Linked DNA regions of Styela clava. The protein of the gene in region 2 purifies or fractionates together with the protein of the main gene of each other region. This does not show direct contact. Links are inferred from orthologs where the notes say so. Each region holds a gene or a part of one and is shown on either strand. Other genes may lie near its edges. The genes, in order: SWI/SNF-related matrix-associated actin-dependent regulator of chromatin subfamily A member 5-like, DNA polymerase epsilon subunit 3-like, cysteine-rich protein 2-binding protein-like and bromodomain adjacent to zinc finger domain protein 1A-like.

Region 1 (8,593 bases), on a different chromosome or scaffold from region 2:
TTCCCTGACCCTTGACCCCCAAAAGATTCTTTTTATACTTGCCCACAGCATGTTCAAAACTATCATTTTTATACAAAACAATAAAAAAACGTGTCGCTTTTAGGCTATGATAGCTCATTTTAGTCTATTGCAGCGTTTGCGCTATCAATTTTGATTATTGTAACTAAACTAAATATCCCTGGATGACATACCGGTACTGGCAAGTAAGTTGTTTGATTTACGACTATTCTTTGAAAACCCAACTAAAAATAACGAATAAAACGCAAAACTACCAAAAGAAGGCAATGTTTACAACTACGCTTGAATAATGTCTGAGCGGCGGCATGAATTCTAAATGCTACGTCATTGTTAACTTATTGCGGATTAGTAATTGTTACGGAAATAAACAAGGAAATCGATGCTTGAGGGAAACTTCATACCATTGAGGTGTATGGACCTTTCCCCGAGCATCGACTTCCTTGTTTACCTCGTGACATTGGCCAATCAGCAAGATGCAAAAAGTGACGTAACAATGCTTCCTTTTCGCATCCGCTCAAATACTTTTCTCACTCAGACATATTTTCGAACGTGGTCGTAAACATTACCTCGTTTTCGCGTTTTCGAAATCTATTCGTTAGTTTTCAGTTGTGTTTCGGAAACTTAAATATAATTTAGATAATTCAATGATCACTCTGTCTTCCTAGGAATTTTAATTTAATTGCAGTGATAAAAAAATCAGTGTAGAAATAGCTATGATAGACTAGGCTAAAATTCTTCACCGTACTTTTAAAAAACAGATTGTTGTATGCGATGACTCATAATGATGGTTTGCAACACATATCCCATTTCACAGGCGCGAACTCGTAAAAGCACTCTTAAAATAGCCCCGAACATTTTGCAATGGTAAACTATAGGAAGAATTTTTCGGAGGTCAAAGGTCGGGGAAAGGACCATATAACCCACAGAGATATATAAATATAGAGTGTGCTTCTCTCTCGTTTTCGCGGGGTCATATGAAGCCTCTCTCGTTTTGACGATATGCTTCCAACTTTTCCGATGCGCGCAATGCATTTCTTATGGGATTTGACAGGAATTAATTATTTGCGTCGATTTTTTTTGCATATTCGCAAGTTCTTGATTCGTTTCTCATTATATATCAAACGCTAATCCTACCCCAGCCCACCATACGGTCTAATTTTGGCAGGTATATGAATATGCGTAAGTCTCGGTTAATAATATGGCCAACATATCAGTCGAAAGCGAACAAAAACGACCACAGAACATTAGCCAAGATGGCTTATTGGAATCGATTCCCTATTTGCCCATATCTGGCCGTATTTTATCGCCGTGAGTACTTTGCGTAGCCTGGCGCTGTAGTGGCCTACCCGCTATTGGGCGGGAACGAAAAAAAAGCTTAATTTTTATTTCTAAAACATGGCCCTAGCCTTATTCACTGGATCGACTCAGCAGCCAGAATAAAACGGTAGTTGTGCGAATCATGTTATGATGAAATTTTGAGGTTGTAATTTTTAGAAAATGTTATTTGACACACAAACCAAAACTTATACTCAATATATTGAAAGTAATATTTGTATGTAGATTTTCCGAAAAAAATACAATATATCATTAATCTATACTATAGACATCTAAATTGAAAAGCTTTCAAATGATTTGGTTACATACTTGATCTTCAGACTTGATAGGCCTCCATCTCACTCAGTGATGAAAAGCTGGTACTTGACGAATTTCTTTTGCTACAATGATAAATTGTCCTGTCAACTTTCAAGCAGTGTTTTAAAAAGCTGAAAATCAATATATATGTCATGATTTTGTGCAAGCCAATTCTAAATTTGAGTTAAACTAAATTTCGTTGAGCCAACTATGTCATTAGGTAGTTAATTCAGACAAATGTTATTTGACAGAGACACTGCAAAGCAAAAAATAGACGTTAGTTTCAATAAAATACGTAACGGGTAAATTTCGACATTAGATTTCATAAAAGCCAAACTTTCCTCCGATTTTTTTTTAAATACACAAAACTAAGAAAATTTAGACGAATAAAATTTATTCAGCGATTGCCATTAAATTTCAAATATTATAGATTAACATAGAAATTGCTTTTCATCGACCTTACAGTTACAGGTATATGTAATCATTCAATTTCATAAATACAGCTCCATATTTTATAACATACCAGGTGTAGTTTTCAAACTGCACGAGTTGCAAATATTAGAATAAAAGTAAAACACCCAATGAACTTTTCGGACTTCTGCTTTAAAACACAATTATTAAAACATGTACAGAATCTAAATCTTAAATTTCGATATGCACAGGATCAAATATACAGCGTAACAATGTTGGCTTGCATCGAACTATTTAGCCTTTTAAACGTGAACGTGGGTCTTACTTTTTTGGAATTTTGATTCGAAAGACAATTATTAAAACTTGTGAAAATATAAATCTTACAATTTTGAGGGAAAACACACGATCAAATAAGTGGCAATGCCGACTTTGATCGCAAGACCCGAGACGCGGTGCGCTTGCATCTAATTGTTTAGCATTCTAAACGAAAACAGTGGTGTACAGGAATAAAATAGGCGTCGGAAGTCAAATCTTCTGCCAACGCTCCCGCCACGTTTTAAAATGACATATTATTAATAATCCATTTGGGGTTAGGAATGATTTAAAATTGAATTCCCAGCGCAATCTGCATTGCTAACTTAAACTGGATAATTATTAATTCTCTTATTTTGAACGTTGATAGCGTCTTTGTACAAAGATCCAATCTATACAAGGCGATCCGGTAGTATTCGTACCAAGATGGTGCACAACCTGAACCCTAACCAGGTACACATACTGTGTTCAGGATGTGCGCCATCTTGGTACGAATACTCTGGGAGCACCCTATACACAATAAAATATGAAAGGGAAAAGGCTACGGCGAATCTCTAATAAACCATTGATTTTGCGCTACATTTGCGAAAGTTTTGAAAGTTATGCTTTACATTCATGTAAATCTTGTCCTGTTGAATGCAGCTTACGTAGCGACGTAGATCAGTATATTACGTTTAAGTTTCTTAATATGATAAGTCTATGTATTGTCATATAGCTTTTAAGTTCAACCAGTTTTGAGGAAACGATGGAACCCGTTCGATACAAAAGAGAATCACCCACCAATCTAGACTTCTGTATTTGGTTAATAATTCCAATTCGTATAGGCCCGAAAACCTCTAATTTACCACTTATACAATAGAAAAATGAAAGCAATGGAATATCAATGAAAACAATAGGTTTAAAGAACATTTAGCTCACCTGAATATTGTTTCAAACTCGCTGTCATAACCCAACAGTCAGCTTGTCCATACATTCTACACAAAATCAAACCTTATCCTACGACGAACATTTGTGACTGCGATGTCGCTTGTGGCTTCCCGCGCACAAATATTTGACGAAAAAAGCTAACTGATTGTTGTAATCAAATATTTTTAACTGATTACTTTAATTACTCCAGGTTGCCGTTACGGTCCGATCACGCTTCTAACGCGTGATCTCAAAGTTGCAGAATGAAGATGACGGTTGGGATTTGCTTCATACATTTTCTGATCGCATAATACCTAGTTCATAGTATTTTTGGGGGTGTTTATCTCGGTGACCGTACATTTGAACCCACGTATATTTGAACCCACGTACATTTGAACCATGTACAAATATCCGTAAAACAACTAAATTTCCATAAGTGCAATAGTACGCAGGTGCAATTGTCGTGGGTTCAGACGTACGTGGTTCAAATGTACGTGGGTTCAAATGTACACGGGTTCAAATGTAATGGAACCGTTTATCTCAGATCTCACATTTTTACATCAGTGACGGGAGCTTAGTACAAAGAATCCAGCATTTCCATTATATTTGTCTGTTTTGTTTTTCGAGTAAACGCGCACGTGGATGTCATCAAAAATGTAACCTTCCCTCCACTCCATGAAAGAATAACGGCGTGTTTAGCGTTATATCAATGCATTCTCTAAATTAACGTACAAATCTTAGCTCATTGACTTTCGCAGTCAAGAATGTTTTCATACAATAACGTGACGGCGATGTCCTTAAAAGTGGAGTCACAATGGGACGTTGTTTCGATGCCTACTGCAGGGCTACTCAACTATTTTTATCGAAGGTCCGCAAATAAAACTTCAAAATTATTTGGGTCCGGTCTTTCCAGAAATGATATTTCGGCCTCCTTAAACGGGCACTTCCTCGACCGACTAATGGTTAGTAGCAAATTAAAATTGTTTATTATGGTGTTATAGTTCTTTTCGTATATATTCAAAACTATGAAAGTCATTGTATAATAGGAAATTCAAAAACTGGGGCTAATGATCCAAAATAAATAATTAGGTGCGGTCCTGGCCTACAGTAAAGGTAATTTCTCCGCCCAAACCAAACGGCAGAGATATAACATCAGCAACAGCATTAACCACGGTTCTATGTGAAGTAAATACGACAATTGACTGCTCAAGACAAGTGCATACCGACGACAACGACTGATTCACATATTTGGTGTTATGAAGCTCGTGAAGAGGTAGACTGCTATTTACGGAGCCCCACAATAAGAACGTAACAAAAACAAATTGTTACTTACAGATTAATATTAATGAGTGATTTGAAAATACGCTATTCAATAACTCGGATGTATTTGCTTCTTCTTTAATTTTATTAATGTCATTTTGAGTAAACGAATAGTTCGCGGAGACTCTATAGTTCTGTATGAAGCACTTTGAGTCTGTCTCTACAGTAGACCTCTTGGTAAAAAGCGATCATGATACAGGTATGTACGGCCATAAAGAACAATCCTGAGATTTCGTCATCCAGCGTAAGGGTATAGACGTATATTAATGTGTTTAGTATCTATGTCAGCCAGTGCACTGCAGTTGACTACGTTCGCGTTGAGTGGCGCATCGTACTAAGCCTTAGGACTACGCTTGATTTCTAACCTAAGATTACCCCGCTTAGATTCGCAGGTTCAAATCCAGTAGGGGATAATTTAGTACCAGAGGATTGCTGGCGGCTTACTCCCACTATCCCTACCCTAAGCTAGCGCTTCCCAAACTTTTTTCGCCCCGGAATATTAATAGTTTTTATGATGTAATTTAAGTTTTTTCTCTACTTTCGCTTGAGGCACATAATATGCAGCACCTACGCCAAATGGATTTTTCGAACCGTCAGTAAATACTTGTACATAGTCTCGATAGTTTTTCGTGTATATGGTCAAGAAATGACGTTTGAAGTATTGTTGGTGAACATGTTGTACCATAAATCGTTAACGTTGTATCAATTTGCGGTGGCTTTAAGGAATCTTGAAATTGACAACTTTTGCAACAAAGAAGTTGGTAAAAAAGCTGTTGGTTGTTTTCATAATAAACGTTGCAAATGACGGTTTGTAAGAAAAATATTCTTCCCACGACTGTTTGAATAATTGTGCTGTAATTTCGCTGTCACGAGGAATCATTCTGCATTTGTAATGTAGACATTTTCTATAATGTATAATATGTAAAGGCATTTCGTTACATTGGGATTGTAACGCTATAATAGGAGTACTTTTTAATGCAACCAAACATTGTGATTGGATTACAGCCATTTTCCGCAATATAGTCGTTGTTCTTATTGTTCCTGTTCTTTGACACGTTTTTAAAAATTCCAATTGCTTTGAAATTTTCAGTAGTTAAAGATGGAATTTTTTTCTAGAAGGCTATTACTTTTATTAGTTTCAAATATTTCTGTGAGCTTTATGAGATTCGTTTTTATTTTGAGCTATGACGTCATCAGAATTTGCCACCATATGGCGATTCCGCAAACATTTCAACGATATATTGGTCAGCAAAGTCGGGAGTTTCTTAATAAGGTAGACCAGGGTGGTCCAAACTCTGTCATGCTGATACATTCCGTGCGGCTCACAGAACAATTTTAGCGTATATTTGTATGTAATGGAGTAACGTTTTTTTTTAGATATTCCAACTGGGGTTGGGATCCCGAAATTCAAACCCTTTTTCTAACGCTTTGTGCCAAAACACTCCTCTGTTTACAAGCATCGGCCATGTGACAGTAGTGACGAAACGCAGAGCCGACTTAACGCCGCGTAATCCAGTTTTTTAGCTAGGTCCAGAAAACAAACTTAGACTGACTTGGTTGGTATTTGACGATGTCACTAAGCTTGCTCACGCTGCAAGTTTCTAAATTACTCAATATATATAACAATTCGTAATAAAATGAGTGTCGCAAGAAAGGTGACATGAGAGAACACGGCGGAAATGTATTTCCTTGCCCATCACGCAGTGTTTGATTTCAAGTAATATCTGTCACGAAAGAATATAATTTGAAGCGACATTAAACGCGAGATGCGCAAAATACAACGGTAATTCTCGGAAATTAACTTTAAAATATCTGAAGGCTTTATATATCTTCTTTAAACGAACGCCAACCATGCAACCTAATAATAGTCTGATTAGAAGATCTCGTTGTTTAATAAATTTAAAGTAAGTAAACTCGCGATATTTTGATCACTTTTGGTTTTCTCCGACTTGCGGCCCGCGAGACCTCGTCAAAAGTTTTTGCGGTCCTTCAACCTAGCAACCTTGAACCACTCTGAGGTAGACTACTAGGTACCGGTAAAATTTCAAACTACAGTTGTGACTTGTATCCTTTGGCATTTCGATTCACGTTGAGACTGGAGGCATGAATCTTTATTGTCACACTCCCTCAGGATTAGAGCTCAACCGATATATCGGCCCGATATTGCGTGTTTGCATATATATAATATCGGCAGTAAACGGCCAATATATATATCGGCTATATATAATAGTTAAAAAACCTGAAAAGGTTCGTAAAGTTCGTTTTATTTACTGTTGGTTGTGATTATTTTTAATGGATAATACACTTATGTGGTTTATTGTTTTTATAATTAAATTACACATGAGGGGGCACCAAAGTCTTCAGTGCTTAGGGCACCAAAGAGGCTTAATCCGCCCCTGCCTACCCGAGATATACCTAAAACATACCGGTAGTCCTAAAGGGCGCTTCAGAAGTGTGTGTACCAATATTGAGGTAAATAATATTGTTCGCCCTACTTTACATCAAGTTGTGTAAAAGGACTGAAGGGTATATTCACTTGGGTAACACACACAGTACCCGAACTCGTAATAGAACCAAAATAAGAAAAGTCAGAACAAAGTTATGGCCTAACGCCAACCTGGTACACAGTCTACGGCAGTATCAACTAAATTTCTCTTCGTCCTATACTGAAGACTCAGGTGAAATTTTCCCCGTGGAGGTTATTGCATTTTTGGGATACCAGGCAAAAACAATTGTTTCCACTTATATCTATTGTGCAATCGCCTGAACAACCAATTTTTTTCAAAAACGAGATCCACATCAGGCTCCAAAAATACTCGAATACAATTGTATCTGGTATGTTAGTCGTTGCCGAATACCCACAAAGTGTCGCATATACATCCATATGCAGCGCACTGGGTAGTAAAATAGACGAAAACTGGCCAAAACCATGAAAACGAACGCCAACCATGCAACCTAATAATAGTCTGATTAGAAGATCTCGTTGTTTAATAAATTTAAAGTAAGTAAACTCGCGATATTTTGATCACTTTTGGTTTTCTCCGACTTGCGGCCCGCGAGACCTCGTCAAAAGTTTTTGCGGTCCTTCAACCTAGCAACCTTGAACCACTCTGAGGTAGACTACTAGGTACCGGTAAAATTTCAAACTACAGTTGTGACTTGTATCCTTTGGCATTTCGATTCACGTTGAGACTGGAGGCATGAATCTTTATTGTCACACTCCCTCAGGATTAGAGCTCAACCGATATATCGGCCCGATATTGCGTGTTTGCATATATATAATATCGGCAGTAAACGGCCAATATATATATCGGCTATATATAATAGTTAAAAAACCTGAAAAGGTTCGTAAAGTTCGTTTTATTTACTGTTGGTTGTGATTATTTTTAATGGATAATACACTTATGTGGTTTATTGGACACGTAGTGGACATAACGATCGTTTCAATATTATGTTGTTGTTGTTCTTGTTCTTGTTATCCTTGTTGTTGTTCTTTGACACGTTTTTAAAAAGTCGCTTTTCTCTTCGAATACTGGACCAATTGCTTTGAAATTTTCAGTGGTTGAAGATAAAATTTTTCTCCAGAAGGCTATTACTTTTTTTTTCGCTATGACGTCATCAAAATTATTGCCATTGGGTGGCGCTACGTGTCCATATATTTGAGCATAGCTCTCTTGTTGTTTTTATAATTAAATTACACATGAGGGGGCACCAAAGTCTTCAGTGCTTAGGGCACCAAAGAGGCTTAATCCGCCCCTGCCTACCCGAGATATACCTAAAACATACCGGTAGTCCTAAAGGGCGCTCCAGAAGTGTGTGTACCAATATTGAGGTAAATAATATTGTTCGCCCTACTTTACATCAAGTTGTGTAAAAGGACTGAAGGGTATATTCACTTGGGTAACACACACAGTACCCGAACTCCTAATAGAACCAAAATAAGAAAAGTCAGAACAAAGTTATGGCCTAACGCCAACCTGGTACACAGACTACG
Region 2 (5,781 bases):
CTGACCACACGAGGTGGCATACGACGAATCATAATAACGTACAAATACATGCGAATTTATTGTATTTTCTCCTTTATGCGACGTTTATTGGCGCGTTTCGCTCCGAACCAGGCTCGAAACAAGCAGCAACTGATATCTTACCATATGTGAGAAATTACTTTTATTTGGAATGACCGGGAACTCTTCCGTTCTAAATTTGTTTTAGCAACGATTGAAAAGGCGCCAAAATTCGGTTAGACCGGAGTGCTGCAATTTGTCAAAATATTAATAAGAACGCGGTCAAGACTGCAAGACAGCAATAGCGTATCGCACGGTACCGGTACCGGTACGCGTATTACTTATTACTCAAAGCCCATATATACCTCTTATACTTACTGACTTATAATCATTGTTTATTTAGCATACTCCCATACCAGTACTGCTATAGGGTAAATTAACTTTTAACCTGTTTGGACAAATCATCTTGGCAAATACATTAATGGAACACTATGCAGCTATCTGCTATGGTTTAACTTACTGACTTAACTGGAAATAATGCATGTCTGCATGTAAGGGAATGATTCTGTTGTTAAGTGTAAATGGTTTAATGTAGACTAGGTCTATATCGCTATTATTTCAGTATTTGTTATTTTTTCCTTATGTATTTGTACTACCATATTTGGGCCATTCCAAGCAAAAGTTGAATTCCATCAATTTTTTTAAGTCTAGTGAAAGTAATTTTTTGTATTTTTTTTAAATCAAATGACATTGGAATTTTATTGAACTGCATTCCTTTCACCGAAAAAGTTGAAATTTCACCCAGGTTTTGATGGTTTTAAAAATGGCCTAAAATGTAGAAATTTTGGTATAATTGACATATTTTGTGATGATTCCTGTTTTGATTGTGTGATACAGTTATTTCATATGGTCTAAATGGACTCATTGAATTTAAGTTAATAAAGTTTAAATGGTTGCAGTGCTGTAGGACATTTCTTCACCCTTTTAACGATTTATTACCATAATTTTGAGAGATGATAGAGGCCGCTGTTCCGAAGTGGAAAAATGTCCTGTGGTGTCACATACAATATCCACATTATTGGCATGGATTTACACTGTTACATTAGGGGAATTGAGCAACACATAGAGGGGTCCTTCAGCTACTGCACCAGAAAATATTATGGGCTCCTGCTGTACCAACGCAAAAATTTACAGCACAACATAATGTACTGTTAATGCATGGTGGATTTACCGTCCTGTAGTGTCACACTATATTTTACTATATTTTTTATATCCACTAAGAATGGGTGTGTCTCTTGGGTTGAACTTTTGTTGAATTTTTTTCCATATTCAATAAAGCAACTGATTGGACAATGAAACAAAACATGTAGCTGAAAATGTAAAAATATATTGCATCTAACAACATGAAAATTTTCTGAAATTGTCCTGTAGTGTCTCTTGGAATAGCCCATTTATGTAGCCTATTGCTTCATTAAAAATCATTGCTTTTTCATTAAATATCAGTTTATTATACTAACTCTTGGTCTGATTCTTATGCTCAGCTATTTAATATGCAACTATTAAAAAAATATATGTGGACTATATATTTTGAATAATCTGCCCTTGTATGATAGTAATTATTGTCATTAGTGCCCAATTGCAGCATTCAAAAAATGGACCTTTTCCATTTACTCCCACCCTGACTAATATCCATAATTCATTTCATTTTTTGTTTGATAATGCTGCAAATTTTTAGGATTTAGTCGATTAATGGTGAATGCATTGATAAAGATGAATGGGCCCCATAAAAAAAATAGTATCCAAATATTGAGGCGCAGTTCTTACCACTTTATGGCAGCTCCTGCCACAAACGAACCGCGGCAGCTCTTGCAATGGTTTTATAGCGCTTTTCAGTAATCAGTATTAACGGTATATTCACAAATTAATGTACCAGATTTTAATTGATCATGCGGAATTATATCTACTCAAACCCTAACCCCAAATCCATCAAAACTGTATCCATAAGAAAAACGTTCCAACTCACCCAATATTTTTCACCATAAGGGACAGCCCTTTCTTTACGACCCACCTGCCGTGGTTATGGCAGCAAAATTTTACCTGCCATTGGTTTTCAATTTGCTGCCGGGGTAACGGCAACCTGTCATTGGTTTGTGGCAGCTAAAAAGTCAGTCGCCATAGGTTTGGCCGTAGCGGCCATGGTATGGAAAAACCGCCATGGTTTTGCGGAAGCTGCAGGCGCAACAAAATACTTAAAACTGCACTTGCAAATATTAGTGGGGGTGGGTTCATTTTTTTCACATATTCACATTTTTTTTTTACTTTATGTCATCTGACATTATGTTTTAAATATTAAATTATTAATATTCATCCGTCCACCAAATGACAGAATTATGTGATAGATTATTCTTCAATATACTGATATACTTGCTCTGTATATCATCACCTTTTGCCCTATGATACAACTACAAGATATACATCTGACCAACTTACAGTTACAGTAATCACCAAATTGTTTTATCAATTACAGTATACAAATATTATCATGGTTCGAGTATTAATTGTTGGGGCAGGTTTAACTGGTGCACTTTGTGCTCATATGTTACGAAGGCACCTTCCAACACAACTTCAATGTCAGATTGTTGTTTGGGAAAAATCTCGCGGAGTTGGTGGAAGAATGTCTTTGTCAAGACCATCTGAAATGGAAGACTGTTCTGCTGAACTTGGTGCCCAATATGTTGAACAGCATACCAAGTATATTGAACAACATAAATATTTTTATAATGAATTATTGGAATCTGGAATACTGAAACCCCTTGAAGGCAAAATTGATGGTTTTCGTGAAGGGATAAGTGAGAATTTTACTTGTGGTGGCGGTTTAAATATGATGGCAAAACATTTTTTTGCCAAATCTTTGGTAGAAACCTGTTTTAACGTTAGACTGGACAGTCTGAGACTTACTAGCGATGACCAAGAAGCAAGTTGGAATGTATGGGAGGCTGCAACAACCAGTGGAAAGCATGATCACTTTGATGCAGTTTTTCTGACAATGCCTATACCCCAGATTTTAGGAATTGAAGGTATTACAGACAATTTGCAGAAGCAGCAAATTTCAGATCTTGAAGGGGCAAGTTATTCCTCCAGATTTGCAGTGGGGTTGTTCTATGAACCTGGTGCTTATAATATCGATCTCCCCTATGTTGCTAAATTTGTTGTCGATAATGAAGTTATCTGTTTCATATCTGTTGATCAAAAGAAAAGAGGAATCGAAAGGTGAGAGAAAATATGATTTCTGATTGCTTTTTCATGTGCTTATGCGGTGATGGATGTTGCCAAGAGTCTGCGAGTGATACAATTGTTTCTAAATTATGGATGACATGGCTTTTATTAATAAGTCCAAAAAACATCTTGTATGGAATATTTTAGTGTTTTTGTGGTGATATTCGAGTATTGAATTTGAATTGGCCATCCCTGTTTTTATGTGCGTAAATCACTAAATCAAACTATTTTTTTCAGAGATGTAGTTAACACATAAATTTATAAAGTCGGGGCCCAGTGATGAAATCTTTTTTATAACTTGGAAATGATTTCTGGAGTATGATTGGGTCTATTTTTCTAGTGCAATATTTATTTAAAATTTGCATTTCTCCCAAGGGATGCATTTTCTTGTCTTGCTTCATAAACAAGTCTTGTTTTTCATGCTACCTTTGATTATATTCAACTATCATGTAAACTTATTTTTTATGGTGTCATCCTTTTGTGCTTCAATTTTTTGTTAATCTTTTTAATACTAGCATTTATATTTTTGAAGGAAAACTCAATCTATTGTTGTTCATACTTCTGCACCATTTGGAAAATCACATTTAGAAGAAGACGCTGAAAAAGTTGGCCCACTCATCATTGAGGAACTTAAAAAAATTATCCCTGATCTTCCAGAACCTACCTATGTCAAATATCACAAATGGAGATATTCTCAAGTCACCAAAGCAACTGAATCTTCTTATGGATGCTTGGTACCAAGAAATAAACCTTTGCTGGTATTGGCAGGAGATGGTTTTACTCACTCTAACTTTGATGGATGTGTTCAATCTGCTATAGTTGTTGAAAAGGAAATTTCGAAATGGCTTTCAAGTAGTGTACTGTAACCTATTTACAAGCAAATTTACAATTACTTAATTAAGATAAAAAGTGCATTTCTGTGCTTTTTCCTTTACATGAAAGATACGGTATTCATGTACAGACCAGTGGTTTTTTAATCGGGATTCCTCGGAAGTTGGCAGAACCCTAGTACAGCCCGGGGGTTACGCAAGTTCACATTACCTATTTGCAACTATTATTTTCTCCACTAAAGTTCATTTTGATTAACAGTATTTCGTTCGCTCTTATTATATTTATAGTTAATACAATTTAGACAATAAAAGACAGGGTTCCTCCAAGTTTAATAAAAACCACAGGCACAACCCTTTCTGGTTAGCTCTTCAAATATTTTGTGCACTTATTATGCTTTGCTGTTTCATGCTTTTATGTGACTTCACTAAAAACTTACCATATCTTTCGTTAACTTAATAATGACTGATCACAAATTTTCCCATTTTCAGGGATATAGCGCTATAAATAATTTAACAAAAATGGCTGAAAAACCAGAAGATTTGAACCTTCCTAATGCAGTCATAGCGAGAATCATGAAAGAAGCTCTTCCTGAAGGAGTGATCGTTTCAAAAGAAGCAAGAGCAGCAATATCAAAAGCAGCCAGTGTTTTTGTTCTTTATTGTACTTCTTGTGCTAATAACTCTGCAATGCAACAAAAGCGTAAAACTTTGAAAGACATTGATGTCCTATCAGCAGTTGAAGAAATGGATTTTGAAGGCTTTATACCAAGCTTAAAACAAAGTCTTGATGCATTCAAGGCCGAACAGAAGGAAAAGAAAGAAGCATCTGAAAAAAGGAAAAAATTAATAAAAGAAGCTCAATCTGTAGATGTAGAGAATGAACCCGTGACTGAAACTGTTGTTGTTGAATAATTCTTTATTATAATAGTACTCAAATTTCTGGCGCATTAAACTTGATTCCAGTTATTCTCGGAGACTTGCAGACTTGAGTGAGATCTTGTTTTAGTTTCCAGCCATGTGGTGCGCCTGCAAACTCATCAGAAAATCCCAATTCTACAACGTGAGAGTGCCTAGGAGAATAAAATTATATTCTGATTTAGTGACTGTGCATCCTGGTATCAATAACTAACAAATTAGTTTTTGTAGAATGACTCCCAATTGTAAACTACAAGTTCATTTATGTGATAAATGTACTATCTTGTTATTATACTTTGATTTTGTTTGTTTATAACAGGGATGTCCGAATCCATTTTTCAAATTAATTATATTTAGTATTTCCAGTTCTCCAAAAATTATCGTTTGGGTATTGGAAGTCCTCAAACTTTTGATGTTTAAATACTCTTTATCCTTACTATTGCGTACTTCCAAATTTTCTCCTAATGTGTTCTTCGTTGAACGTGACACAATTATGTATACATTTAATATTTGAAAAGATATTTTAATGTGTATTTGAAAAGTGAATTTTTCTGACCATCCTTGTTATGTTCGATCAAACTATATTATATTGGTAGTATGTATGTTGCAAACCTGCCCACCTTTCTCATTTCGTCACACTGCCCTGAAGCAATTATTGCACCTACTGCCTTTTTATCAATACCAGTAAATAATGTTGATCGATATACAATTTACTTGAAAAGTTTTTTTCTCACCTTTTTTAGATTATTTCATAGAGATTGTT
Region 3 (8,122 bases), about 7.0 Mb from region 2:
AAGTGTGGAATAATATTCCAAAATAATCAGAATTTTTCATGGAAAACTAGTTGTTACTGAGTATATTGAAGCATTTTGTCTCAATTTCACTTTAAACTAATTTCTGGAATACCCAACTATTTGTATATGAGAATCTTTTGATACTACTACAAATTTCTGAAATCAGATGTAACCTCATGAAAAGATATTTTCATGGATAACGCCAAAACAAATATAGACTCCGCCCACTTTGACTACTTGCTAACCGTCAAGAGCAAATAAAAGATAGCTAAAACAGCATCATTTTTGCTTTCAACATCTGACATAGTTCATGAATTTACTGAATACTTTATTTAAAATCCTACTCTGTTTTACTGAAACATTATTTTATATTTTCAATGTTCAGCTCTGCGCATTTACCTGTGTTTTAGCTCGTTTCTCTTTAATTTGTGAGGCGTTGAACGCAGATGACAAATAAGATCTTTTTCTTAATCCTTCTGTTCGTCCTAGACTGGGTGAAGGAGTCATTGCTGATCCAGATTTAAATTTTTTTGATCTTCCTTCTAAAGTAAACAATAATAAACAAATGATTTGATAAACATTGGCTAACCTTATTAAATATATCACACAGTCAATCAATAAATCAGTCAGTAATTGAAATAAGTAAAAGTGCTGTTCTATAAAAAAAAAAAGTTCTAAAAGCTCTGTGCAATTCTATATCAATAAAAAATATTATAATTGGATTGGCAAAATTAAATCAACAAATTATTATATTACAGAATATATTGGTCTTCTTCTAACCTCAGTGCTGTTTTAACTACAAAGCAAGACTTTGTTGAATAAAACAAAGAGAAAATAGCAAATAGCAGTATGGTACCGACAATTGTTGACAATAAAATATTATTTGAAAGAATTTGTTTGTTGACTTATGATCTGATACACGACAAAATCGATGAGCAAAAAAAAATATTAAAATACCTCTGAACCTCGAATCACTAGATGGAGTGTATTCGGGGGGTTTGGTAGGATCAGTTAGTTTCCACCATCCTGATTCCTTGAAAAATCCATATCCACTTGTAAATTGATGAGGGTTGCCAGCTGACATGGTTGATGCAATGGTATTCATCCAAGCCCCAACTTTCATCCTGCTGATAACGTGATATTACACAAAATTATTTGCAAAATCTTCTTATAAGTATCCTTGCAGAAGTATTTCAATAGGAAGTGGCACAATAGCCTATAAGCAACAGAAATATTGGTGTTGCAAATTAATTAAAGGTCATGCAGACCACCCTAAGACCACACCTCACGGTGATGTCAAACTGGAAGGATTTCGAGCCTTCTAAAAACAGTAGCTCCTTATGTACCAGTGGCTAATTGTACAAAGTCTGCCGTAAAAAAGCTGCATAAAAACATTTATACCTGTCTTTTTACAGCTCTTCAGTTTTTTCTGTAAAATCTAATATTTTAAATGGGAATAAATTTGACAACAAAATTTATAAGGTAAACTCACTATGACTCGAACAATACATCCCAATGAGTTTCAACAAAATCACAAATATCTTCTTTCCATTTGAAAAATCCTTGTTTCCCAGGATCAGATTGGGCCATGTTAAAAAGAGAGAGTGCAGTTGCCTGGTTCCTGTCAAAATTAATTTGGTGACATAAATAATATAATAAATAGAAACTGTTTTTTTTTTTAATTTGCTAAATAATTGGATGAATGTTTTTACAAAATATCAAATGAAATTCCCATACCATGTTATTCTCATTCTAATAAAACTTTCTTTTCCATCTTCAGAACAACTTATGCATTTGAATACGTAGTAATTATCGAACAATAGAGGGGATGGTGATTCTGAACGAAGGCAGCCTGTCATAGAGAATGGAATATATTAACGAAAAATTCCAAAAGCTAACTTCTAAAGAAACACTCAAATCATTGCTCATCTCAACTTTCATGCCTTCAAGAATACATACTCATATTTGTTAAACTTTCAATTTTTTTGTTTCAAAAATACTATTTTGGGATGCATTTAAAAAAAGTTGGTCAATAAATACATTCCAAACAAATATACCCAATCTCTGTTTCTCATAAGAATATTGAACAAATATAATAACAAATCAATAACACAAATTTGCAATCTTCAAAAACATCAATTTGAATAGCATCCATATAAAACTTTTTACATAATTACCGGTATGTTATATATTTCTTCATGTTTAAGAAAAAAAAAACATTCATTTTATAATCAAAAACGGTATAAAATAAAACCCATATGTTACAACATACTTGTGTGAACCCATTTAGCACAAGAACTGCAATGAAACACAGGTAAGCCTTCTTTTTCACAATCACAATATCCACATCTTGATGAAGTTGTCTTTGTAGAAGGCTCTGCTAAGAACAAGAAATAATATAATACAAAACACAGAAATTCATACATGACATGAATGGATCAGTAAAGAAATCTGCTGGGTCATATTCATTAAATCACTGATGTAGGATACCAAGATATGAATAGTGCTTCAGCTTTATAAACATTAGCCATTGACAAGTGCAATTGGACTAAGTTGCGAGCACTCCATAACCCTACTTACAAGTGTAGGGGATCGCGTACCATTTGCAACAATAATAAGATAGTTTTAAAAAGAAGGTGTAGGTATAACCAGCTCAATTAATAGAACATGTTTTAACATCAAGCTAAACTGAACATCAAAATTAGTTACAAAGTATTAAAAATTCCTACCAATTACTGATTGATACTAGAGGCTAGTCTGTGGCGCAGCCAGAGGGGTGCAAAAACGTAACCTCGAGTTATGTTGAACACAATTACATTAACAGGACAAGACATTTTAAATGCTCGTATCGGTTGTGAATTGAATGTATTGCGCAACGGACAAATCATAATCCGCTGAAAAAGCCAGCTTTTTATTGAGTGGCGAAATCATGATGACCGTTTTAGTTGCGTGAGAATTTCAAATTCCGATTTTGGATCCCCTAGACTCTGGCTAGGGTATGAAAACAATCGTGTAAGATTTAAATTATACAGCACAAACCTGTAGCGTCTTCTGTTGTAGTTACATCTATCTGTTCTTGGTCAGACATTGTTGCGATTTAGCCTAATGATATTAACTACATGTAGATAATAAATAATTGGAAGTGTTAAAAACATGAACTACGTGCACAGATTAACAGTGGCTAATCTACAATTGAACAAGCTCTCTCCTACAACCTTTTTTATCACCAAATCTATTAAGAAACGAGAAATTTTCAATACAAAAGGATGAACATTTTACATGGATTATTGAAAAGGGTAGTGTAAGAACTCCTAAAACTTGTGTAATAAGAATTTGAATATCAAAAAGGATTTTTGAGACCAATTTTTGGCAATAACTCAATAAGAACGGCAGTGTCATAAAACAGTGGGAAAATATCATACTGTTAGATTTCTCGAAATCAAAATTAATTGAAAGGAAGAATTCTAGATGGCAACAATATCCAAAACCAAAACACAACGCTGAGTTACCATTCATAACTATTCAGACATGGATATCCATGGCAATCATCTTAATCACAAAATAGGAGACAGCTTAATTAAGAATATTGGTCAAAAACAAAAAGCTAACACATTGTTTAGATTGCTAAAAATACTTTAAAATTAAATTTTTCCCAATATTTTTTTACATAGATGCACGATATACTGCATAATAATTATAAATATATTAAGTGTAATGCAGGAGAATATTGTTATACTACATGCCATATCACATCAGAAATATTATAGCTATGCCTATAAATATCATATTAAGCATATGGTTTGACTTGTGTGAGGTATAAAATGAAGTGTTGATGATATTACACAAATCTACAAAGATTTTACTGACACTTTTTAGAAGTATCAATACGATGCCAGCCATATTGATATAATATATTTTATATAAAGTTATTATCAAAGTTAAATAGTACATAACAATTGCTCTATATTTAGAAAAATTGGTAAGGCAGTTGGAATTAACAATAAAATTAAAAATTCTCTCATCAGCACCTAAGCATAGAAAGAAAACAATGACCACTATGCAAGTATAAGCAAGGCACAAAACCAATAAAAATTAAAGAATTGAAGATGAAGCAAATGATTAATGGAAGTTAATAAAAACTTAACTTATTGGACACAATCTTTTTACATTTTTTAGAATTGTACTTAGATAAAAATAAATCGTAACAATGTTCATTATATATTTGGGTGGCACTTTTAGCTTAAGCAGCTTTATCATGTCAAAATATTCTAAATCGGAAATATTTTTTCTTTAAATTTTGAAATACTATACAATAAATGATTTTTAAACATAACCTGTTTGAATAATAAATCTCACGCAAAACTGAATTTTTTTCTCCAAACTAAACTCATTTTAGGCTACAAAACCACCCCTAGATATGCACCTACATATTATACACTAATAGTACAAATGTAAATAATAATTTCTATAAGTTGGATATGTCTCAGTGCAATGAAGATTTGATTTGAAGTTCAATTTAAAAATAACTAATAAAAATAGTTCATTAATAGATTTCCATCATAAACTTTGTGGTTGTTTTTTTGGTTTGTTCTTTTCCTGTTGAGCTTTGAACGTAAATATTGAATAAACGATACTGCCGACAACACTGAAATGAATGAAAAAAAATTTTTTAACTCAACAATGATGGTGGTTCTGAAATAAGATATAGGAAATGTACAAAACGAAGCCATTTAATCCCATGAAAGTGTTCAATGCTTAAAAATAATTTCAACTTTTGTTTGTTTGTCTATGATTGTTTCAGTAATTTAGGCAATTCATTTCAGTAATTTAGGATAAGAGAGATTTATTATTTTGTCAGCCAGAAAAAACAAGCATCACAAGTTGCAACAAAAATGAAAATATACTACAACATACACAAAGTTTTTTGGTATAGACTGTGGGGAGCGATAGGACCATACTGTCACCAGAGTCAGCATCCCCATGTTTGCACAAAAGTCACGCTCTCTTCTTTTGGGTCACCTTGTATTATTGCAAATAAATGCTTTATAGAATAGTAAGGAAACAACTTTAATCGCTGACCTACCTTATGTTAACGCCAATAAAATTGATCCAAGAAAATAAATAATCACCACCAAACATCATTCCAAAATATGTTATTGCGATATTTTTTAAACAACCGACCACAGTTGTAGTTAATGCGGAATTATAAGCTGTGCAAACTGCTATTGAATACATCAAGATGAACCTGAAAAAAGCAATGTCATCTAATTAGTAATAAAAGGTACAATCATATTTAATCATTTTGTTTGTTTGTAAGTTTATGCAATCCAATCGATAAGGAGTTCAATGCCTGAATGAATGCAAAGAATGAGTAAACTAAAGATATTAAATCACTGATCAATTAACTACATTGCAAAGTATTTATATCATTAGGAATTTAAGTTCAAATAATCAATTTGTTGTTTATCAAGTAGAGTTTCTGTTATTGTGAAAATGAGGGGGATTTTGTGGATGAGCAGTATATTCAAAACGAGTTTGTATCACATGTTATGCCTATGCAGTTTATCAAGAATTAATCAATCTTGCGATTTATTGATCATAGTTTTCATCTCAGGGACTTATTAGCTATATGAAGAGTTGTTAGCAAAAGTATTTAGTAGCGAATTTTAATTTAGATAACAATGACATATAACAAACAAAAAACTCACCCCATTACGCATGAGAGAAGAAATTGGAAAACGAATGCAAATTCATCCCATCCTTGATAGGAGATTCCTTTCTCTAATTCACCAGTATAATAAAGAATACAGGCAGCTGGAACAAGCATTAATAAACAGTTGTAATATGTTATGCCATACTTCCCAAGATCCTGAAAATTTTAGAAAAAGAATGTCATAACATAGTTTAATTCATGAGCTTAGCTTGAAGTAAAAAAAATACACACATATAGCCTACATATTTATACATAGAAAAGTAAGAGCCAATTAATGAGATAGAAGAACAAAGCGTATCAGATTTATACTACAAGAAAGTGGAATAAAGGTTTGAACAGAGAATAAATGATAAATAAAACACATTTTCCTCACAACAATGCTTCAAATATTCAATTTATATTTGAATATATATTAATATATATGACTAAGCAGATCAGGTAAGAGATTCGGAAAAGTATTTATTATAAAAAAAATTCCTATAACAAACTGTGCCCTGCAATTCAATTCAACTACCGGTAGGTAATTTTTTGAGTGATGAAAACTGAAATACCAGAATTTTTTTCCCTGGGTCCAAATCTAAATAAGTTTAGAATATCTTAAAATTGGGAGCAAACAATTTTTCTTTAAATAAACAACTTTCATGCACAACAGAATGCATAATTTCAGATACCTGTGCATTGAGAAGTTTCTTCATAAAAACTGCATTTAATGCTGTGAAAACATCATTAGCAATAATGAACGTATATCCAACCAAATCAAATGCAAGATCATCACTAAAAATAGAAAATCAGTAAGATCAACTTGAATACAAAATTATACAAATATATACGAAAAAATAATCAGATATAAAAAGGTACTTATCATTAAATTTAATATTAATTCTTGTATAAAACTATACCCAAACTGTAATTGAAACAAGTTGGAACACATTCAAAACGTTTTTTTTACTCCGTGCCAGGTACCCTATTATATTTTTTGATGCACAATGTATTCAATTATTGCAAATCTAAATGTATTTGCAATGCATATTATAGATAATACATTGTCAAGTTTAACAGTTATCATACACTAATTACTAGAAGTAAAAGTAGGTATGTCAGTCATATTGAAATTGATTTAGAAAAATTACTTTCCTATCACGGTATGGAAATTCATGATATCAATCACCAAAACAAAATATGAATATGACATTATATTATTGTTTGTAGAAACAAACTAAATATACTATAAAACTATAACAACATCCTGATTCACCTTGCAGCAATAATTGATCCTCCAATCATCATCAAGACTGTTGAGGTGACAGTTCGACTTGCTTTCTTCCTAATATTATAGGAATTAAAGGGTCAATAACAAATACATTCAGATTCTTGATATAATTACTAAAATATTTCATATTGCCAAATTTAATAGTGAGAGACTATATGGGAAAGTTGTACATTGACTTTTTAATACTACGAATCACAATACAATGTAGTAATGCCAAATTTTGAATGAGGCACAAAAACTAAAACAAAAGCAGAGTGAAAAATATTTCTACATGAGATATACCTGAGTACAAAGAACTCTAATATCAATGTAAACAAAATAGAAAATCTTCTTAGTACAGTAAACATTGGAAGACTTAGTTTCTTCGTTCCTCCCAATCCAGCAATCAAGTTGGCGAGATATATGAGAGGTAGAGGAAAAATCTGGAAATAAAAACAGATTCGGATAATAAATATAGTGGAGAGCATGGGTGACATCTAGGTGAGCAAGCATAAGGTGAGCGAGCATAACTATTCCACTCCTATATATTTGGAATCTTATTGCAATGACTTGACTAAGAATGGGCAATTCAAAAATCAAAATACAGAATCTGGAGGATCCGTTAATGCAATTCAGTTTAAGCATCCTTGCACCATGCGACGATTTTTGTAATTTGAATATCTAATTTATTAATCATAGAATAGCATTTTCTCTTGCGTTGAAATCTCTCTTGTTAGGTAGTACTCGAGTCCACTTGCAAAACACACATAGAAGCAGTCGGCCCCAAACACAGTATTGTTAGTCTGCATATTCAGGACAAGAAGACAGTGATAAATATGTCACTGCAAAAACTCGGTATTGCATCATTTTTACGTTTTTCAGCATCATGATATAGTTGGCAAATGAAAATAATTATTGGTGACACTGGCATTTTCTAATTGAAACAAGCCTCAATTTTTGACAAACACATCATATTTCTCATACATTACATGATTTTGCGCATCCCATGAGTTAACCCAATAAATGTATGTGACCCAAAAACCAGATGTTGATGTTAAAACTTGATTTAATATTTTTTTGTGAACTATTTGAATTCATTTAGGCCTTTTACAAAAATATCAAATTATATTGCAAAACAATGCATTTTGCCATATTTATTT
Region 4 (8,023 bases), on a different chromosome or scaffold from region 2:
AGAGGCCGTGGTTCGCCCTATGGATAAGCCGTCTTATCGGCTTTCCTCTCCCCCGGGATAAATATGTAAATCCTATCCTCCTAATCCTATCCTATCGTTATATGGTTATGTCCACTAAAGCAGTGGTCGGCAACCTTTTTTAAGTGACGGACCGGTAAAGCCTGACGAAAATTTTAGTGGACCACCTTTTATACAAACGAACTATGCTTATGCAATAAATTATACGCGTTAGGAAACTTATGTTGACAATATACTAAAAAACGAAAGCCATGCTATTTAATGCGGGATCTGTTCCAATATTGGAGATATGGTCGACACCGACACATGTAACGTGTTTCATACAGCCTACTTCGATATTTCGTTTTTTGTAGTTATCAATATATATTGAAAACCAGGCCTCACATTAATAAGATGGTGGGATAAGTAACAATGCCTGTAAACCTTCTGTCTCTAGTCTGGGTATTGATTGATGTTTGATTGAACATTTGATTTTATTATTGTTTGTTTTGCCATAACTAATTTTTTACCCGATGTGCATGTGTTAACTTATGATTATCCTGATTCCTAAAGTATAGAATTAGCACTGACTAGTCATGACCGGTTAGCTATGAGCAAGTAGTGGAGTAGTCACTAGTCACGTTCCTAGCGAGAATCATTTTGTTCGAGAGATCTTATTCCAACTGATGTGAGACTTTCTTATACGGGCGTTGAGGAAACAATTGACCCAGCGTCAATGCGACATAATGACATGGGAATTGTTTGTGAAGTCAGACATGCTGCTGAAATGCGTTATGTTTGTCTGGTTTAGTGCTTTTTTGATCGTGGAGTATGTGGTTAGACTGTATAGGCTTCATTAGGGCCTTGTCCGTTTCTGTGTCACTTCTCTGCGGACCGGTAGTAACCTTTCCGCGGACCGGCGATGGGCCGCGGCCCGGGGGTTGCCGACCACTGCACTAAAGTGTTCAATAAAGAATCTTTTAATGGGTCAAGGGTCGGGGAAACATCCATAATTATTCCGCGGCACATTTAGTGTGGTACGGTGCCAGTACTGGCTACTGTTCTTTTTTAGGAATAAGAACTAATTGGGATAAACTAATCCCATTTTTTTCAAATGTCTCCATTGTACTAAGATTGGATGTACTCGGAATAGTGTTTTCAAACTCTGAACCATGCAATGAGAACTGGGAAAACTGACTACTGAATAATGTGAGAACTGTAATAAGTGAACTGAAAGACATTCCGGTTCCGTTATCGCTCGATGGAAAATGTCTTTTGGTCAAATTTAAAATTTTGCCCTTAGTCTTATATTGTGCAAAAGTATATTCTATCCCATTGTATATAGCAAAAATAATTAATGATATTATTGAGAAGTTTGTATTTGTTTTGTTCACGCTTTGTTTGTTTACCAAGTAAAACAGAAGCTCATCTAAATGCTATTATTGCTGTACCGGTATTGTATTAAAATTGTTTTCAACACTTTCGCTCATCAAAATTTATTTATAATTCTACAAGTAATCTTTGCCTGTGAATTTTACTTTCTCGTGTTTATGTACATGCCTGCATGCCTTTTATTAATTTTCAGTATAATTGCTGTGATGTGTTTTCTACTCGTGTGAGTGTGGGTAAATGGGCACAAATGCTTGCAGCGTTCGCTATAAACCTTTCTCGAGGTTTTGCCCATTTTCCCGATCTTATCGTCGCCCTTGTCTGTTTTTTATTTTGTGTTTTGTCTGTCTATGTTGTCAAGTTGTAGACGAAAGATCGAAATAAAATTGTATTGTATTGATGCTGTAATGGTAGAAATACCTTCAGACCTTTGGAATTGATACATACTGACATAGGTGGTTCATGTACAGATGTACCGTAACTGCTGGTTGGTTACGGCTTCCTCCACCATCAACATTCAACAGTGCAGCACACTATCCAAATTCCAAGAATTTTCCTCCATTTGGTTCAATAAAACAAACACTCAATGTGTCTCACAAACGAGGGGCATCTAGCACCGCGTCATATCGCGCCATGCTTGTCTCAATAATACTCTAAATTAATCGCGGCCGTCACATGACCAAGATTGTGATAAAATTTTTTTTCCTTCGGTAAATCGGATTATTTTTTCCAGAGAAATTCAATGATGACGTTATTAGATTGCGCTTCTTCGTAGTATTTTGCACAACTTCATTATACTGTATTTTTACCGATATTGAGGGACAACAATGACCAGACGTCTCCCAAAGGAGGGGTGTCTGATCATTGGTGAAATGGGTTTCTCTGAAACGAGACAATGTCACCCAATCTGTATAGTGTGCCGTACTGAATAGATTCTATGCAGCCATAATTCTGTAATTACTTTTCTTCGACAATATAACATCACTGGAACTGATTTAGAACAAGGAAAACATCGTACAATATATAAAACAAATAGTAAACGAGAATATCGGTCGGAGACCGAAGACTTATCGATTGATACTGCGGTTTCGATTTATGACTCTATAGTGACACCGCGTGTCTCATCACTAATTTATCAATAACTCGCTAATTATACGACATAATTCATCCAAAATCAATAGGCTTCTTGTCCGAGATATGGTGAATGCACATCCAGACATCCAGAATTTGGAGCAGATTCAACCTCGCCTTCGTGAGATATCGTGTTCATCTAACAGACAAACAAACAGACAGACAGAAAAATACCTATCAACATACTAACCGATCTTAAGATCGATAAGTAATAATTTGAAGAGTGGTGATAGAATGGTGTTTCTTAGAGATGGTAGTTTGGTAGGAGCTTGTTCAAACATACATTCAGACATTGTTTAAATATTGGCTAATAATATAAAAACTTTTAATTATAATATAAACTAATGTGGGACATTCTTTCAATAAAAGTTAAACCAAGGATTAGACATATTAGTGGAAATGATTTATTTGTACTTACTTCTCAAGAACCAGAGTTTATATCTCATTTATTTTGGAACTGTGTTCTTACACAAAATGTGTATGATTATGTTTTTTCTGTTGTAATGGAAATAAACAATTGTAAGTTGAAAAATATTTATAGAACGTGTATTTTTCTAGAACTAAATAATCAGTGTTTTTCACATTTATTATTAATTGAACGTGATGCAGTCATACTTCTTCTGTGTACTGCAAGATATAAGATATGGTTGGAACATAATGCATTTACTTTTGAAAATGTTGATCCAAGTGTTAAAAATGTCATAACAACCTAACAAGAATTAGAAAATCTCTTTCAGCAAGGAGAAATATAGAACAATTTAGACAAAAACCTAGTTTTATAAAAGAACTTGACGTAATATGCAGAAACCTATGACTAATTCAGTATTTGTATAAATTTTATTTTTCTGCTATCAATAATTAAAAAACCTGTAAAATAATATATATTTACCGATAAACATGGTGAACTTCATCTGTAATCAACAATGGAACACTATTAATTACTGGACAATACTGGATGATGTTTATGAATATATGTGTTTATTATATGTAACCAGGCGCGCAGACAGGCTTACAAAAGTGTTTCGATTTTAGTGATGGTATGTTCCTAAACGCGACCTAACATAATGTGTTCCGTAGGTCGCGGTGGGTTTGGTCATAGGGGCCATGGTTTGGAAATCCTGCCAGGGTTTTGCGGCAGTTCTAGACGCCACAAAATACTTGAAACTGCAATTGGTAGTTTCGGTACATAAACCACATTATTGCCTAACGAGCCTATGATAAAGTGGGCGACGGGGCTTCATAATCAGTTTTCATCAATCATTTTATTGTTATAAGATTTGCATATTTAACCCGGGGGAAAGGAAAGCGATAAAACGGCTTAACCATATTATAGCGAACCACGGCCTCTCATTTGGTTACCATTCCATGCCTGGTATCAGGGTATGGGATTACCTGCCAACCCACGCAGAGTGATTGATCAGAGACTGCAAATGCTTAGCACGATGTCGATGAGCCATACCACCGCGCTATTATTACACGTAGGCTACAATAGGGCACAATTCTCCAATTCCAAGATGTCCCAACATTTGGGTAAAAAACAACGCACTTTTTGTCTTTGACACGCGGATATCTGGCATGACCTGACGACGTCAGATCGCACCATGCTTGTCTTGATAATAATCTAAAATAATTGAGGATGTTACATGACCATTCCATATTTTTGCTAAAGTCTCTCGAATGCTGTGGTAAAAAATTTCCATTTTGTGTATCTGATTATTTTTATAAAGGCCCAGACTGTCTCGTAGATGAGGAGTTTGCATTCACTATTGTAATTGATGTTTCTCAATGTGGGGGCTATTCTTGGAATCCAAGAAATGTGTCGAAGGCCACTGAAGTATATTTTTGCTAAGTTTTGCAGGTCTATGAATATAAATTACTGAGTTTTAATTCTTTGTTTGGAGCAGTTATATTTGTTGTGTTTACTTACAGAAATTTGTAAATTACATAATTGAGTGATTCAATTCTGACTGTTACATTTTTAATTGCCATTTACTGCTGTACAATAGACAGATAAAGGAATGCCACTTCTCCACCGAAAGCTGTTTGTTCCAAAAACACCGCCTGAAGTTCCCGGTAATGACCATGAAGTTTTCTACTGTCCTCTTACCAAAGAAGCTTTCACTGATTATGAGTAAGATTTCTCTCATGCAGTCATGTTAATTTTCTGGTTTGGTATAATTTAGTTACATGTACTTCTAGTTGGCCTGGCTTTTTGCATATGTCATTCATAATTCTAACCCCCACCTGACTACATCACCAAAAAACTACGTCATTACGACGTCACAGGGCCGTAATAAAATCCTATGAAGTATACGGATGGTCGTCCAAAACGCGCAGGCGATCATAATTTTCTTTGTTTTCTCGTCACAACTATCACAATATAAGAGACATCGCCGGCGTTAGTTAGTTTATTATCGATGGCGCAGATGCCATTTGGGCGATCATAACTATCCTTTGCAAGCTGTATGATGGATTGTGATGTCGTTGTGACATAATTTTGGGATGGCATAGTCCGGTGGTGGTTAGGAAGAATAACTTACGCAAGGTTCATTATGCTTCGCCCATTGGAAGTACTTGTGGTACTAAACTATTCTAGACCAACTAAAAAGGCCGATACACTGATATTCCAATACTATATATTTATTAGCTCAAGTGTGCAGGGCAAAAGAGTTAATAAAACAAATAGTCTTTGAGCATTATTCATAGTGAATATTTCAGGTTGAAAAAGCGATTCAGCTGGTTTGGCCGATAAATTGCTAAAAAAAGGTCAGAATCCTATTCTCGTTTCTACTCGTGGGGGAGGGGGTGTGCATGACCCTTGTTCACGATCTACCCAAGAAAAAAAAATAGTTTTAACATCAGTATTATAGCTTATTTTATTTTTTAAAACATTCTAGATCATAATAAAAAGCTAAATGTATCGGAAATATCAGTCTACATTTAGCCGATACCAATACACTACCGATATCGAAAACTTGGTCGATACCGATACATCTCTATAACACATGTGTCTAAATCAGATTTAAAAGTGGTGTCTTTATGAAATTTAGCAAGTAATTGTTAATTAATTAATTAACAATTAAAATTAATTAGTCTTTTTTATCGTAGCAAAACTTTTTTCTAGGGAGTTCTTTGATCGAACCATTCTGTGCAACAGTTTGGTATGGAGTTGTTCAATCACGGAGCGAGGGAACATGACTTACCAGGAAGCACTTGATTGTGAAGAAGAGGCAAGAAAAAAGTTCGATAAGTTTCCTGAAGGTCTTCAGGTTTGTTCATTGGAAATTTTATTTTTTCGGTTCAGGTCAAATATTTTTTTTGAGAATGGAACTGATTTCAATCATCTAATAAAAATTTCTTTGTGATAAATTGAAGAATTCAATATACCATATATTTGATGAAAAAATGAAAGACAGTGGTGAGATGCTGTGCTGGAAAAAGCCCTGTGTTGGAATCAATGTGGTACTGGTTTTAAGTTGAAGCAAATGTAGATGATAATGTTTTAATTTAACTTGTACGATATCATGGAAAAAATCATAATTTTATTTTCGTTTTGCACAGTAATATTTTACTGGGTGACAAACCTATGTGAAAGCAAAGGGTTGCCTAAAAACGGAACCTATAAATTCCCTAATTACCTCCACAAAACTGGAGTAAATTATTTAACCTCGTCTACACTTGAACTTCAGTTTATATAGGATTATACCAAGAGGTTTCTGATATCTAAGCACATTTTTAGTGCGATCAGTTATGCGCATATAAGCCAACCCCTTAGTTTAACTTTCTTTTTTAGTTTTATTAAACTTGGCTTACATGCAAGAGTATACGGTAGTTATTAAATATTATTGATATATGACATTGCATGCGTCATTTTTCAGAAACCAATGTTGCTTCTTGTAAACCTTATTGCTCGATCTAGAATAGAAATTCTGAATGATACGATCTTTTCCTTTATCAAGAAGCGGTACTTTGTTGGAGAAACACTGGATGTCAAAGTCAAAACAAACAAGTGGGTGTTTTTTGTTTCTGTTGTTATACTTGTATTTTGCAGCTGCAAATATATAAATGTATAATTAACAAATACAATTCTAGAATAGCGATTTGATTGTTGTTTACTTGCCATGTTGGAATGTTCAAAATTGAAATCTAACGTCCATGATTATTTTTACAAAATTCTCCAGATTTGAAATGTGTCGTATTCTGGATGTTATTCCAATCAAGAAATCTAGTGACTCTGCAGAAGCAGGGATGAGTAATGGTCATACAAATGGCGAATTGTCAACTGATGAAGATGATGATGATAAACCACTTGCGAAGTATGACTATTTTTTCAAAAGTTTTACATAATTATGTCTTCGATCCTCTTGCAGTTTTTCTTCACATTCTAAACTAAACTGAAACTCACCGGAAGACATAATGACAATTAAAATACTTCATTTACAACTAATTTTCGGAAACACAACTAAAAACTGACTAATATAATGCAGGGCAGTCCAAATCGAATTTAAAATTCGAACATCGCGAACTTCAAATACTTTTTTTTCGTGTTTATAGGAATCCCGAATATGGCGCACATATCCTAGCGTCGTCGTCCATGTGTGGTTCGGCAATATATTGCAGCCGACATGAAAGAATTCCGATAAGCGCCGCACGGACTTGAGGAACTTATGAAACATCGAGGACGTTTTTGATTGAAAATATTTTCTTATCGTATATTTTAACTTAGTCAAGATGGTTTATGCATCCTCGACAAATTGTGTCCTTATTAAGTGTTTCCATCCTCAGTTTCGATAGTGACCGAACATAACAGGAGATTTTTTCAATCTAGTAATTTAGAGCGAATAAAATAGCTCCTAAATAGTATTTAATAGCTTCTCTATCGCGGATTTTATTGGCATCCACGTTGATGACAACATCGTTCAGTTTAAGTTGGCGGTATTCATTTACAAACAAAAATACATAACAGCCAACATGAACTATTCAAATCAGCGCAGAGTCCAAAAATAAAACTTGTTTTACGGTCTTAAGATACACATAGAAAGAAGAAAGGACAGAACGGCTAAAAACTAACAACAGTATGTTTGTGTACTTTTGTTCACCATCGTCATCATAATCAAATAAGTGAACCCGATCCCCAAATTTTGGTCCGCCAATAATGGAGAATTAAGACGGAAAAACGTGTTTTATTTTTCGAGCCAGCGCTGATTTAAATTTCTCGTGTTATGTGTTATAATTTTAATTTTGAATATAAATCAATACCTCCAACTTAAAATAAACGATATTATTACCAACGACGTCGAGATAACGATAAAATCTCCGATATAAAGTAAATAATATTTATCTATTTTATACACTCTAGATTGCAAGAAATTAAAAAAAATTTTGTTATGTTCGGTAACTATCGGAACTGAGTATGAAAACAATTAATTGCGACACAATTTGCTTTAAAATTTATTGCCGAGGCCGCACAACCTATCTAGACTAAATTGAAATATACGATAATAAA

The links.
Region 1: the proteins of DNA polymerase epsilon subunit 3-like (region 2) and SWI/SNF-related matrix-associated actin-dependent regulator of chromatin subfamily A member 5-like fractionate together in Drosophila melanogaster (co-fractionation; 4 studies listed by BioGRID, with this or other methods). This does not show direct contact. The link is inferred for Styela clava from reciprocal best matches to the Drosophila melanogaster genes Chrac-14 and Iswi.
Region 3: the proteins of DNA polymerase epsilon subunit 3-like (region 2) and cysteine-rich protein 2-binding protein-like purify together in Drosophila melanogaster (affinity purification with mass spectrometry; 4 studies listed by BioGRID). This does not show direct contact. The link is inferred for Styela clava from reciprocal best matches to the Drosophila melanogaster genes Chrac-14 and Atac2.
Region 4: the proteins of DNA polymerase epsilon subunit 3-like (region 2) and bromodomain adjacent to zinc finger domain protein 1A-like purify together in Drosophila melanogaster (affinity purification with western blotting; 3 studies listed by BioGRID, with this or other methods). This does not show direct contact. The link is inferred for Styela clava from reciprocal best matches to the Drosophila melanogaster genes Chrac-14 and Acf.

The regions. Positions count from the first base shown.
Region 1 is NC_135260.1:16,353,859-16,362,451, forward strand, and holds the start of SWI/SNF-related matrix-associated actin-dependent regulator of chromatin subfamily A member 5-like, read right to left. Parts: upstream 3,379-8,593; 5' UTR 3,292-3,378; intron 1,782-3,291; 5' UTR 1,663-1,781; intron 1-1,662.
Region 2 is NC_135251.1:20,534,160-20,539,940, forward strand, and holds DNA polymerase epsilon subunit 3-like, read left to right. Parts: upstream 1-4,622; coding exon 4,623-5,015; downstream 5,016-5,781. Other genes in the region: renalase-like, read left to right, coding at 2,540-3,267, 3,806-4,139; leucine-rich repeat-containing protein 42-like, read left to right, coding at 5,616-5,781. UniProt on the Drosophila melanogaster protein: Accessory component of the DNA polymerase epsilon complex. Participates in DNA repair and in chromosomal DNA replication. Histone-like protein which promotes nucleosome sliding of ATP-dependent nucleosome remodeling complexes.
Region 3 is NC_135251.1:27,511,444-27,519,565, forward strand, and holds the start of cysteine-rich protein 2-binding protein-like, read right to left. Parts: upstream 3,159-8,122; 5' UTR 3,089-3,158; coding exon 3,040-3,088; intron 2,381-3,039; coding exon 2,273-2,380; intron 1,853-2,272; coding exon 1,738-1,852; intron 1,622-1,737; coding exon 1,493-1,621; intron 1,128-1,492; coding exon 958-1,127; intron 543-957; coding exon 400-542; intron 1-399. Other genes in the region: nucleotide sugar transporter SLC35D1-like, read right to left, coding at 4,558-4,645, 5,084-5,245, 5,709-5,869, 6,385-6,487, 6,969-7,037, 7,266-7,405.
Region 4 is NC_135253.1:143,886-151,908, forward strand, and holds the start of bromodomain adjacent to zinc finger domain protein 1A-like, read left to right. Parts: upstream 1-4,427; 5' UTR 4,428-4,535; coding exon 4,536-4,648; intron 4,649-5,641; coding exon 5,642-5,786; intron 5,787-6,395; coding exon 6,396-6,526; intron 6,527-6,698; coding exon 6,699-6,833; intron 6,834-8,023.